Linked DNA regions of Arabidopsis thaliana. The protein of the gene in region 2 interacts with the protein of the main gene of each other region in a pairwise test. Each region holds a gene or a part of one and is shown on either strand. Other genes may lie near its edges.

Region 1 (5,972 bases), on a different chromosome or scaffold from region 2:
AGATTTGCTATCTTTCTTGTCATTAAAATTGTATTATTGTTATTACCAACATAATATGTCATATATCGACCTGAAATAATTAAATCATGAGAAATTTGGCAAACGGAAACTTCGGATGGTCAACAATCTACAAATATATGCATGTATATAAATACACCTAAAGAATTCTAACCCGTAAAACAAAATAGTTTCCACTTTAAGTTCTGTAAAAGTATTTGACCCCTCTAGAGACCATGTATATATATGGTGACAAAAATTAATACTTTCAATATCTTCATTGTCTTCTCTCTCTCTCTCCCTAAAAAACATGGAAACTACAAAAAACACTAATCTCCAAAACCCTACTAAACTCCCAAAACCATTTCAACATCACCTAGAAGAAGAAAAAGAAGACGCACTATCTCTCCGAGATCTTCCCCTCAAAGCCAAGAATCCTAATCCCACCACCACCGAAGACCACAAAGAACCGTCAACGGAACTTTTTGAGTTTCTAACCTCATCCTCCTACGACGTAGCTCCGGCAGAAAATATAATCTTTGGCGGGAAACTCATCCCTTTAAACTACCAAAATGCTTTCTTTTCACCTCCTGAGCACATTAGCCGTCGAATCCGTTCACGGTCTGAGTCCTTATCCGCGATACAAGGCCATAAGCTTAACCGTCCCGGTAGTTGTACCGTGGCACGTCGTGACAATGCGGGACCTATGAGGGCAAGCCGCTCTTTAGATTATCGTAAGCTTTCACGTGGTCTAACCACCGTACATTCTCCACCGGAAAATAGTTCATCGACTAAAAACACGGGGAAGCCTGAAACAACGTCTTCGGGAAGTGTAAAAAGTGTAAGGCCAAGATGGTATGTGATCATGTTTGGAATGGTTAAGTTTCCGCCGGAGATCGAACTCAAGGATATAAAGAGCCGTCAGATTCGCCGGAATATTCCACCGGTTATGTTTCCATCTCCTGCTAACAGGAGAGCTCGTGGATCTCGGTCGCCATCACCGTCACCTTCTTGGAGGTTTCTCAACGCTTTAAGTTGCAAGAAGCCCACAAGCGTGGCTGCTACGGCGCCGTTTTGGGTTCCTCATCCATAAATTACTATATTATTCCTACGAACATTGTGCGCGGTTACTTGCTCTGCCGTTGATTAAGAAGGATAGGATCGTCATTTAGTATAAGAAATATCGATATTGTTAATTTATTTTGTGAAAGAATGTCGAAATTGTAATTTATTTGGTGAATCGATAATAGTTTGGACCATAACACATCTTATTCACACCTTTTTCTTTTTCTTTGATTTTTTCGTTATTTTGTATTTCAGCTCATTTAGAATATTTCAATATATATTTTAATAAAATTGTTTTTGAAATTGAATTGGTTAGGTGAGGAATGAATGATGATCAAAAGAAGCACGAGAAGGATATGAGAAAAATTTATTACCTTACTTTTCCCAATGGGACTAGTCGATTTTTAATGATTTAGACAGGAAGTTGTATCATTTTTTAGCATTTATCTGTGCTTCGAAGTTCATGGTTGATAAATGGTATGATCAAATTCCATCTTGAGAGACTGTGACATGCACCTTTCTTTTGTCCAGAGACTTCTAGATTCGAAAATTATTAGACATTTTTCTTTCTTCATAAATCTTTTTCACCATTATCATATGTCTATATGATACGACCTAATATTAAGATTTTTTACTTAGCTTAGAATTGACCTAAATTGGTACTTTTGGGCTGTGACACTATTAGTGATGAAAGAAATTGAGACGTCAACTATAATGCGCATTTTAAAAGAAAGTAAGACAATGATTGGAACAAATGACTTGCCAAGTAAGTGAAAGAGGACAAAGAATGTTTTGTTCCAAAACAAATATCTGAGAGACAAACAAACACTGGAGATATCATTGAGCACAAACACGCATTGGTTTCCTTTAGGTACACGTCTAAAGTTTAACGAAACGTCGTAGCTTCAAGTTTTACAAATTGATCTTACAAATTTACAGGTTCCTATATGTTCCCTGAGGATTAAGAGAGAGTAATAAATCAGGCTTTGTCCTTCATTTGAATCTTGACAAAGTCTTTTAATCTCTCCTCCTTCCCTCGAAGGATGTTGAATCATGTAGCATCTAACGAGTGTGTAACCCAATACGCAAGAATCTGTGAAAAAACCTGCAAGATACACGAAAAGGATGTAATGTTTAAAGATTGTTTTAGAAAACTTGGAGTTCTGATTTAGAATCTAAAATATCATTTACCTGTCAATGTTTCTTGAGAGTTTCTGAAACCGCGGTTTTAAGTTCTCAAGATGAATACTGCAAGGGTATAAACAAGGAATTTGATTCAGTTATAGAGAGTAGAGACTGTCATGGAACAGTGGTGTGACATAACTCATGAGAACCAAGAGAAGGACTCACATAGAAGAATCAAGATTAGCGTTAAGGAAAGAATGAGCTTAATAGGGCGGCTCAATGGAACGCGAAATCGTCTTTGATAAACCTTGACTCTGTCAAAGAGCTGCAAAATGATAAACAACTAAGACTTATGATCCTTTCTAATAGTGTAGAGATGATCCAAACTGCAGAAGCTTACCTGGTTATAATCACGACATCTCTGCAGCCAAAACATAGGTTTAGCTCCTTTCTCTTTAGGAGTGTCTTCAATATGTGATAGGAACTTCTCCCTCTCTTCTTCTTTTGCATTAACAGGGACATTAATCCTCAACGCACTGATATTTGGTACATTTGGTGAACTCCATGTTCTTCTTGTACCGCCTTTTTTATCTGCACTTTCCGGACTTCCTATGTCGTCAATGTCTATCACACAATCAGGACTGTCGCCATAACATCTACCCTCTCTTCTGCCATTGATCCCACGTGGATTCTCAGCTACAGAACTCGTTGAGGAATCTCTCAAGTTGATGCTATCACTGTTTAAACTCTCTGACGTCTGAGAAGATCCAGATAGAAACATGGCGAGATCATCACGCTCTTCTTTGTTAAGATCCACCCAACGCAAAGGTTGTTTCCCATTCTCGCTTAACGACTCTAGCAGAGTAGATTCCACTTGATAAATCTGGTTTTCAATAGCGGTAACAAACTGTTTATGCCTAGTTAAGGTAGTGTCATCTCGACAATTTCCATGGCTTAAGCTCACTGCCCTCTCAAACTCTTCCAACTGATTCAAGTCACAACAATATAACCAATATCACTAACACACTCATGAGTAACCATGAAAAAAAAAGGGAATGATCAAAGGACCATTGATTGTTTCATACCTGCCATTTAGCAGTGCTCAAAGCAGCTTGGAGTTCTTTGCAGAGCTCGTCTGATTCTACGGATACTCGACCGTCTCTCTTCTCTTTAAACCACAACCTATACGCAGATTCCATTCTGGAAATACAACACAAATAAGAAACAAAATTTCAAATTTGATAACTCAATTCCTTCACAAAACACAAAGGTTCTCACTTAGACCATTCTAGAGCCAATTAGTCCCCTAAACAATCGAAATACCCTATTTTTCAATTGAAATTCCGAATTCCACCATCACAAGCAACATGAGTCAATTAAACAAACAGAGAATCAAAAAACACATACATATCAGCAGATTCTTGAACCTCCTCAGCTGCAGAGAAAAAAACATCCTTTTGCCATAGATCGAAACTATTCGCTACCATCATCTTCGAAACCACACCTAAACCCTTCAAATTAAAGACCAAAAAATCAACCCGAAAAGATTCGTCGGAATAGATTCTCTCTCCGATTATAATCCAAAATTAGATTCTGCTTCCTTCTCTTCTCTTCTCTTCTCTTCCTTTTTTGCCTTCAGGAGGAAAGAAGGAATTTTTATTTTTTCTTCCTCCAGCTTTCTGTTTTTATTTTTTATTCCTTAAATTCTTCGATATTTCTTTGCTTTCTTCACTTTAAACGTTAATGGAAGATTTTAATAAAGAGGCCTCTCTGAACTAAATTGACCATATTTCACACGTGTTTTATTGTAATTGGGAAATAATTTAAAGTAAGATGGTCTTAGCTGCAGGAGATTACCGCTTGTCAAAGAAAAACATCAAGAATGTCCGTGTTGTTGTTGGGCCTACCGGTTTGCCGCAACATCAATTGTTCGCCAACCGCATTATATTATTATTATTATTCTTTATTTTAATACTCTCTATACAAGTCAAATGCTAATGAGTAAATAAATTCAATAAAAACTCAACGCTAATTTTAACTTTTAGTTTAGTAATAGACAGTAGGAGCAGGACAAATTGAGGTGGCATGTGTAGCGCATGTGATATCAAAATTTTAACTAGTTAAATTGAAATTCATAAAATGAAAACATGTTTTGGTGTTTTCAGTTTTGGAGAGACATGTTTTGTTAAATAAATTTAATTAATTAGTTGTTGTGATATGGTGAAATACCACCTTCTTCAACAAATCCCAACCTTGATTTTGGTGTTTTCAGTTTTAATTAGTTACCAAGACCTGTTTTTGTTCTTATTTAGACATTAACCGGTGGTAGATTCTAGAGATTGGGCCCATAATATATATATATATTTTTTTTGATCAAAAAGATTGGGCCCATAATATAAAACAACTTTTTTCTGATGCAAATCTCTTTGGGTAGGATTGGGCTTCACTACTACAATATGTCAAAAATCAGCGGTCAATATTATATTTAGAAAAAAAAAAAGAACGGATGGATTTTTCAGGTCACTTCTAGTTTGAAGTCAAGTGTTTGATGTGATGATTCTTTAAATGTCACTTCTCGAGTAAATTGTTTTCTTGAACTATAAATTTTGAAATTTACAGGTTTCACATATAACCTGTATAAAAAAGGGTGTGACACTAACCAATTTACAACACCCAAAGTCCAAACGCCAATTCTCTTTTATCTCTTCAAAACAAACGTAACCGACACGAAAATTTGAGACAACATATACAACAACAAAGTGGCAATTTCTGCAGCATTAGTAGATACAAAAGCCAGTTTAGTCTCAACTCTCATGTAGCAAATCTCAGAAGGTTAACTTTGGACAGTGCCTACTTTTGACTTAAGAGTAAACCAAAATGGATAACGTTATATTATATGGTAACTAATCATATATTATAATAATTTTGACTAAACAAAACGGATAATTAAAAACACACAAGAACCACCATTAGATGATGATCCTAGGATAAACAGTCTCTTATCATTCACTTCTCCTTCTCATCTTCTTCTTCTTCCTCCTCTCGAAACCCACAAACCTCTCTGTTTCTTCTATTAGGACTATCCAAAGCTCTCTTCTCTTGTTCTTCCTCTGCTTCTTCTTCTTCTTCTTGACCTTCCTGTTTCTTCTTCTTCAATCCAACACTCTTCCTTCTCTTCACAACTCTCTCCTTCAACACACTCACAATCTCCCTCACCGCCTTCTCCGCATCACTCCTATTCCTAATCAACACTTCACTAACATCAGCCGGAGTAATCTCTGCTTCCTCCACACATTCTTCCATCTCCTTCAAAACAACACTATCCATATCTTCTTCCTCAAGCCTCAGATAATTCTTCAACAGAATCTTCAAAGCCGGAAACTTACAAAAACCCATGTGAACATGCATATCCATCCTCCCACTTCTCATCAGAGCAGAATCTAACTTCTCTATATGATTTGTCGTGAACACAAATATCTTCTCACTCCCACAACAAGACCAAAGCCCATCTGTGAAGTTCAATAGCCCCGACAGAGTCACCGAGCTTCCCGGTTCCTCCAAACCCGACCCGTTTGTCAAACCTGGATCATATTCATAGCTCCCATTCTTCTTTTTGTTCTTTCCTCGTTTCGTCAAACTGATAGAACAATCAATGTCTTCGATGACAATGATAGACTTAGAGCTAGTCTTCATCAACAGCTTCCTCAATTCAGAGTTGTTCTGAACCTCAGTGAGTTCAAGATCGTAAATATCGTAACCAAGGTAATTCGCCATTGCAGCAATCA
Region 2 (7,932 bases):
GATGACATTGCCTATGTCGATGTGGAGGCCAATCTGATACTTGCATGATTCTTCAACTTTCCCGCTTTGATCTACCTCTGCCCGATGTAAGAATCGACGTGTGATTTGCCATTTTCTTGCATGGGACCATCACAAGGTCGATGTGGGTCAGGGTGAACGATGTGAGATCTAGGAGTCTCATAAACTTGTGTTCTCCCTTAAACGTCTTTTAGCTTGATCCATTCCGCTACATGCTATGTTGCTTCTCCCCTTTATTCTCAAATGTAATCCAAATTTTAATCTTTTGTAAGGGGAGAATTATAAATTATGAATTTAAACTATATATTGTATATCTATCTATTGAAACCCATAATTACAAAAAAAAACTAAAAAAAGTTTTCTAGTGCCGAAATTCGATCCCGGAAACTTTTCAAATCCGGAAAGCCATCAATCAATTAAACCGGAGAAACAACAATCGAGATAAATTAAATCCTTGTGTTACAGCGGATCTTTTGATAAGCAATGAATTTACACTGTATATATATTTACACAAATAACAACAGATAAATTAAAAAAGTTTCCGCTGCCAGGATTCAAACCTAGAAAGCGATCAATCGATTAAACTAGAGAAACAGCAATCAAGATGAATTAAACCCTTGTACTACAACGGATGTTTTTGATAAGCAATGAATTTACACTGTATATATTTTTACACAAATAATTACATATTTCTTTTTAAAAAAGTTTTCTTATGCCACAGATCGAATATGAGAGACGAATTCTTTTGATAGGCAATGAATTTGGTTTGTGGATTTCAAATTTAGGAAAGTTATCAATCAAGATGAATTTAACCATTGTGCTATAGTGAAACTATTGTTAAACTAGGAATTTACACTATATTAGGGAAAGACTAACATGACCGAATAAATGAAACACAAAAGACGACTAACATTAACGAATAAATGAAACACAAAAAAACGAGTTTAATTAGGAATTGAAGTTCAGTTCAAAATTAGAAAGATTTGTATCACGAAAGTTCAACATAGCAAAACAATAGATGAGATCGAACCATGTGACATAACGAGGTTTAATTAAGCACAATCCTAGATTCTATTCCTTAGCCCACCAAATAACAACTACTTAAGTTTCATGACACTGTTTTATGTTAAACTTCTATGGAAACAGTGTCAAGTAAATCAATTGATGGCATTCGTAGATTCTATTCAAGTCAATCACCTAATTATGTTAAACTCTATCTGAAAATAAGATTATGTAATAGGCTTACTAATCATCCTAGCATCGCCTCATGGCTAAATAATGGAAAACTTATTAGATTTGTGTTAAGTAAATTCATAACGGCCATAACCTCCTTTAGGACATGGAAAAGCCTAAATGAACTGTATGATCAAACTTAATCTTGTGGAGAATGATCACACATCATAAAGATGAGAGAAGATTTGAGTAGTATATAAAAGACATTGGATAATTCATTAATTACCAATTGGTTTTGAGTTGGAATCCCATGAAACTTAACATGATAGGAGAGTCCAAACACACGTTGTCTGACTAATCTGGCCAGAAAGTTGTCTGAGCATTCTACTAATTGATGGTTTAAATGAAGATTCAATCCTATCGAGATAGATAGAAAATCATTATTTCGAAGAGACGAGATAGATTCTATCAAAATTAATGGCCAGAAAAGCTATTATTTTGAGAAAACGTGTGGACAAAGATCTCATATTTAAGCTAGCTCATTGCCAGAAAGCAAACAGGATAATATGGAGACACCAGACCAGACGTGTGTAACTAAGCAAGAGAAATAAGTTTACATAGAAAGCATCAAAATTTCTGATTTTAGCACAATATGCCAAAAAAATCGCCAAAAATAGTAAAACGACGAGGAATTAAAGAAATAGAAAATGAGAAAAGTTTCTTGCTGACGATAACGAAACTAGTCTAGTAAATTGAAGAACGCAACTAAGAAGAAGTTGGTTTCAAAGATAGCTTAGAATGATGCTGTAATATTCAAGCCATGACCAACTTTGTGAACCAGATTATTTCCCTTACACTCCAAAAGAATAAAAAGAAAACTAAGAAAGATAAATCTTAACTAAGCGTTTGGAAAATGATCATGAGTTCCAAATATATATCTTGATAACTGATTCCATATCTGCTTAAGAAAATAAATGTGCCTCCGTAGAAAAATGGAACGTAACTAGAGTTTTCAGACCGTAGCAACATTCAGCTTTGTCCACTTCCGGAATATTGTCATAAGCAAAAGAGATGATGATTGGCAAAATATTCCACATATCAAACCAATCCACAAACCCTGTCGCCATCAAAATAATGAATCAAACATAACATAATCAAACAAAATTTACTAATCTTATTATAGAATCAAGCAATACCTTGGCATAAAACTTCAACTTGAAACCACAAAAGGCGGCAATCGGCATTCCAATTAAGTAGAATGTCGCCAAATTTATAACCGTGACTAAACGCTGCCATCCGCATCCTCTTGCAACTCCTGTAAATAAATTTAACAATGATTTTTACCACCCTAGATGAGTAAAAAAAAAAAATATATATTGGATCTTTTACCTGATAAAACTCCTTGGATTGAATCAAGAGTTATAGAGGCAGCAAGAAAAAACCTCAATGATGCAAACTCCTCTTTAATCACATAGCTATCGCTAAATAACCCAACCCAACCATCATGACCTACGAGTAAAACAATTACAACGCCGAGAGCAAGAACTAAAGACAACTTTACGGACACAGAGGTCGCCTTCTTTGCGCCTTTTACATTTCCTGCTCCAAGTTCATTGGACACACGCGTACTGCAATATTTATTTTCGATTTTTACATTTCCGAAACAATATTTTTCAGCAAGATGGAATACAAAGTATTTTGAAACTATCTAGTAAAATGAGCAAACCTTGCAGCTGCACTAAGTCCGTATGTTAACATGTAGCTAATCGCCTCCGTGTTGACGCTGAATTTATTTAACATAACACACATTGAGAAATTTGATATAATAGATAAAAAAAACATTAACTACCAAAAAAGTGATATTAAAAATATATATTTTTTACCATATAGCGACCAAAGAAGTATTGATTTCCGGGTTTGGCATCACTCCTGCCAAGAACACAAGAATCTCGAATGCCCAATATTCCAAACTGTTGCAACAATATAGTCTCTTAAGCTTCAACAAGCCTAATGATATTTTTTTTTCTTTTTGTCAACATGTACTATTTGGTTTTGACCCCGGGTATGATTACATTGACTAATATAAACCACTAGGCTAGATATAACGGTCAAGAAACATATATACTTACCATACCATAGCAGCAGAAGGGAGGCTTAATGTCAAGTTTATTACGATATAACGGAATGATTCCAACGAAAATCCAGTCCATGTTTCCTTAAACTTTTCTGAACACATCACATAAGTTCCAAGCGAAAGGAAAGCTATCCACAATGAAATAGATGTAGCTATTGGAGCACCAATGAATCCAAGCCCAGCTACATAAACAAGAACATATGCGGTAGCAATGTTTATCACCAAGGGAACAAACGAGAAGATGACTAGTGGAGCAATGATCGATTGTGTTTGGCAAAATCTCAAAATATTTTGTAAAAACCCGTAAGCTAGTAAACCGGGAGCTTGGTACTTCATATAGAGTGCAGCTTGTTTTGAAATGCTAGGATCTTGTCTGAGAAGTCCAAAAATCGATTCTGTGAAGAACCAGAAGATGGTGATGAGGATGCTGAAAACTAATGAAACGATGCAAGATGATTGTAGATGAACTCCCAACATCCTGTATCTTTTTGCACCAAAGCCTTGTCCACATAATGTCTCAAGTGATCCACTTAACCCTACCTGAAAACAAAGAGACATTAATGTATGTCATAAACAAGCACTTATACATATATACCGTTGGCCAAATGTTCTTGAAGATGTCGTTAATAAAAATTTAGACAACTCCTAAAATCATCTACTAGTCATTTATGTCGAATAAATCATTTTAAACAATCTTGATTCTTGAATTCGAGTTCGAGTCTATTATTGAGATGGAAATAAGTGGGTTTTAGTAACTTTTGCAAGTAGACATCAAAACAAGATTTTAAATTACAAAAGCTAAAGAAATAAGGAAATAATGGTACCATGAAGGCAAAACCGGAGACGGTGGCCCAAGAATTGGCAAGGGTGGCACCGGCGAGCTCGAGTTGACCGAGGTGAGAAGCAAACATCACAGAAGTTATAGGAATACAGTAGTAGAAAACATTGGTGAGTATCATTGGCAAAGAGTAAATCATTTGAGCTTTTGCTTCTTCCACGTCGATCACTTTTTGAACCAAAGTTGATGATCTTGATCTCCTTCCTCTTTCATCTTCTCCACCTACATGGTCATCCAACAACGGAGAACTCGTTGCCGGATCAGCCATTGGATTTTCTTGTTGAAGGACTTTGGGTTTGGTTAAGACTTGAAGAGGAGAATTGTGATTTGGCAAGGTGAGGAATTAAATAAGAGATGTACGCAGAAACAGGATATTAAATACCAACACAAGAGGCCTCTCTGCCATTTACTGCCACATTATAATGCAATATAAATACATTTTTTAATTATGCCAAAAAAGATTCAATTTATTACATCCTCAGACTAATTATTTTTGGATCAGAATCAATAATCTTAAAACAAAATGATGACTTAAAAAGTCAACCAATTAAATTTGCAATGTACTATAATCAGGCAGCTCATGAGTCATGACCACCCGATTACCACCTCAGGAAACTTTGAACATTGGACTTAACTTATCGTTAAAATTGTGAATAACAAAACTTCATCAATTAAGAAATATTTCTATATTACAACAATTCACCTGTTTCAAGACATGCATAGGATTGGTATTAAAATACAAAAGTAAAACTAATGAAAATTTGTATTTGAGTTTTTTTTTTTTTTTACAAGTTTTCATTAGTTGTATAGTCACATTTAGAGAGAGTATCGTAAAGACGTCGTCACCTAGTTACCAAATCTATAGGAGAACTTTTAGATTTAAGAACGTTTTCCATACTCAAACTCAGAGTTCAGATATGGTACCCTCTGAGCAAATATTTATGTTTGTATCTGATTCGTGAAATCGAGGACTCTGATGCCATAAGATTGAAGAAGTTTCCATCTCACAAACATGCCTCGTTTATTTCATTGATCTGATTCTGTTTTTTTGGAAGAGAGTTTGTTTACAATTTTTATCTGATTCTACAGCTCATCTCCAGTACTAGGATCCAATTCTAGTCAGATTCATGGTTACTCATCTTCTTGTTTTTTTCTGAACCATGGTTACTTATCAACTAGAACCAACAAAGACAGATAATTATCTGAAATATCAATACAAGAATCCATATTTAGAAAAAAAAATTATTTTTAATCATCAAATTAATAATTAAACAGAAGCTGGTGAAACTAACAACTATCTGTTAAACATTAGTTGAGAATTGCTAATTTTGTCAAGGTTTTATGATTTACTAAGAGGTCGATTTTTCAAAAAACAAAAAAAATCGTAATGCAGATGAATTTTAAAGTAGAGCTAATTCATTAGTCATAGAGAAAAATCAATTTAGAAAGATTTATATAGCTGAATTTGGGGATGTCTTTATTTCAATATCAACAACATAAATAGGCTTAAGGTCCAAAGGAACATTAAGATATTTCTAGAACGTCTTAAGTTTAACTCAAACTGATGTTTCTCAGACTGAAACGAAACAGAGAACACTAGCCACAAACATGACAAAGCAACATAAATTAAAGAAGATACTACTAGTTACATTTATTATTTAAAGAGTACTAGACATGATTTTGGGTCTCCGCTGGTTATGTGCAAACCAAAGCTTAGACCGTTTCAAGTTCTCACTTGAGATAGTCGATGAGCCAAGCGAGCATGTCCTTGTGAGCTTCCATTGCAGCTTCAACTTCTGATGGATCATTTTCATTGTATCTAACAGTCCAACCGTGTTTGCATCTTGGGAATATCTTCACAAAACTCTTCACCTGAAACATATCACTTTGCTCACAATTATCTACTTGAAGAAGATATCTACTTCCAAAAACACATCAACTACTAGTTGTGTTTTTGTAAGTAATGAAAATATTACCTTGCATAAAGACATAGAGCTAAGCAAAGTACCTGAGGTTTAGAAGCTAAAATATCTTCGAACTGCCTCACAAGTTCTGGAGGAGACACTTGATCGATTTCAGCTCCTAATACAGCAATTGGAAGGTTGACCTCTGCTTCAATCATATAGTGAGAGTCATAATCACAACAAATGAGAGAGAACTATCAAGTAAGGAGTGGCCATATCAAAGATCTAAATACCCTTGATATCATCCACCGTAACGCGAGCAGGATGTAACAAAACAGTAGCGTCAACAAGCTTTTCCTTAGCTAGTTCCACCGCAACTTTTGCTAAAGAATAAGAAACAAAAAGTCTTGTGTTAACTAATATACATGGTTGACTTATTATACAGATCATGGAAAACATTTTCATAAAACTGTGGTGATGATGGGAACAAGAAAACCGAACTCACCACCCCAACAGAACCCTGCTGCTCCTATACTAGTTATGCCTTTGTTCTTCAAGGCCTCCACTATTGGCTTTGACTCCTCAAACCCTTTCTCCTACAAAATCCATAGTCTGGTTTCAGATACATTGACACAGAACAGTACAAAAACACTGACTTAATCTTAGCTTTGCAATCAACAATAAGTAGTGATAGCATTTTGGCACTAATAATAAGGGATTATTGGGATACTTGGACTATTTCATGCTGGGAAACAAAGACTCATTTATGTTTTTGAGAAAAATTGAGGATTGAACATTTAATAAGGAAAAGAAACTAACTAGTTCATGATCTTTCATCCAAATAGGAAACGGACGATCCTGGTTCTCGGGATTATAAGGATCTCCATGGAAGAAATCAGGAACCACCGCGTAGAATCCAGCTTCTGCAACCTTGTCAGCAAGTTTCCTATCAAGGGAAGAACAATATCCATGACAAGTTACAGCAAGAATGAAACATCTTTCGAGTGACTATAAAAGGTGATATAAACTATAACTCATTATAACAAAGAATCTGAAGTAAAAGACTGTCTAACAATCAACAAAAGACAAGCTGATTCAGTAGGGATTCTCTGTTACAGCACCTCAGGTTTGGAGTTTCATATCCTGCAGAAGAAAACGTTTTAGATTCTCAAATCAAACCAACAAATTCAGAAAGAACATCAAACGTAATTGGGACAGGTAAAAAGGTTTTTTTACCGAAAACATGAGGGACAAGAAGAACAGCAAGCTTTGAATGAGTGGAACCACAGACGTAGGTGTCAAGGTTACCGAGTTTCTCGACATGACCCGACCCGCTAGTTGGATCCAGATCAGGCGGGTTCTCGGTGCACTGATGACCTGACATTCTTGTTTTCGCCGAACCAAAAAACAAGACGACTCCTCTCTCGCGCTTTGGGACCTCTGTTTTAAAAAGTAAAGCCACCAAACCACCTTTGACCTTTCACACCAGTTATCTACACTACGTGTGCGTATCTACTCTTCCACCTAAAAAAACTCACGTGCGTTAAATAAAAACTAACTTTTGCAATGTTAATTTTTCTTAGAATAAATTTGCTAAATGGGGTAATACCTTACCTTGAATGATTGAATGATTCTATGCACTTATGCAGAGTAAAAAACAAAACCCAACAATCAAAGATTATTCTAATTCAATTATCAATTTTATCATAACAAACAAAAACTCTTTTGACAAATTATTTATGTGGCTTCCTCTAATTATCTTTAACTTTTTTTTGTTTAATTCACAATTTATGTGGTCAGATATTTTTTCTTCCTTCCACAAGGTGTTGCCTTGAAAATCACGTCGGAAGATCACGAGGAATCGT

The links. Proteins that work in one complex are often made in the same cells at the same time.
Region 1: the proteins of ALF5 (region 2) and AT4G30240 interact in a protein complementation assay, tested with the Arabidopsis thaliana proteins (one large-scale study listed by BioGRID).

What each region holds. Positions count from the first base shown.
Region 1 is NC_003075.7:14,806,069-14,812,040, forward strand, and holds AT4G30240 (Syntaxin/t-SNARE family protein), read right to left. Parts: upstream 4,008-5,972; 5' UTR 3,678-4,007; coding exon 3,595-3,677; intron 3,388-3,594; coding exon 3,273-3,387; intron 3,173-3,272; coding exon 2,588-3,172; intron 2,513-2,587; coding exon 2,413-2,512; intron 2,311-2,412; coding exon 2,291-2,310; 3' UTR 2,254-2,290; intron 2,168-2,253; 3' UTR 1,821-2,167; downstream 1-1,820. Other genes in the region: AT4G30230 (uncharacterized protein), read left to right, coding at 308-1,090; AT4G30250 (P-loop containing nucleoside triphosphate hydrolases superfamily protein), read right to left, coding at 5,194-5,972.
Region 2 is NC_003074.8:8,452,158-8,460,089, forward strand, and holds ALF5 (MATE efflux family protein), read right to left. Parts: upstream 4,552-7,932; 5' UTR 4,432-4,551; coding exon 4,150-4,431; intron 3,866-4,149; coding exon 3,321-3,865; intron 3,162-3,320; coding exon 3,075-3,161; intron 2,975-3,074; coding exon 2,918-2,974; intron 2,820-2,917; coding exon 2,581-2,819; coding exon of another isoform or gene 2,540-2,580; exon of another isoform or gene 2,507-2,539; coding exon 2,388-2,506; intron 2,309-2,387; coding exon 2,204-2,308; 3' UTR 1,746-2,203; downstream 1-1,745. Other genes in the region: AT3G23570 (alpha/beta-Hydrolases superfamily protein), read right to left, coding at 5,895-6,035, 6,172-6,272, 6,361-6,450, 6,573-6,663, 6,887-7,013, 7,189-7,210, 7,304-7,451.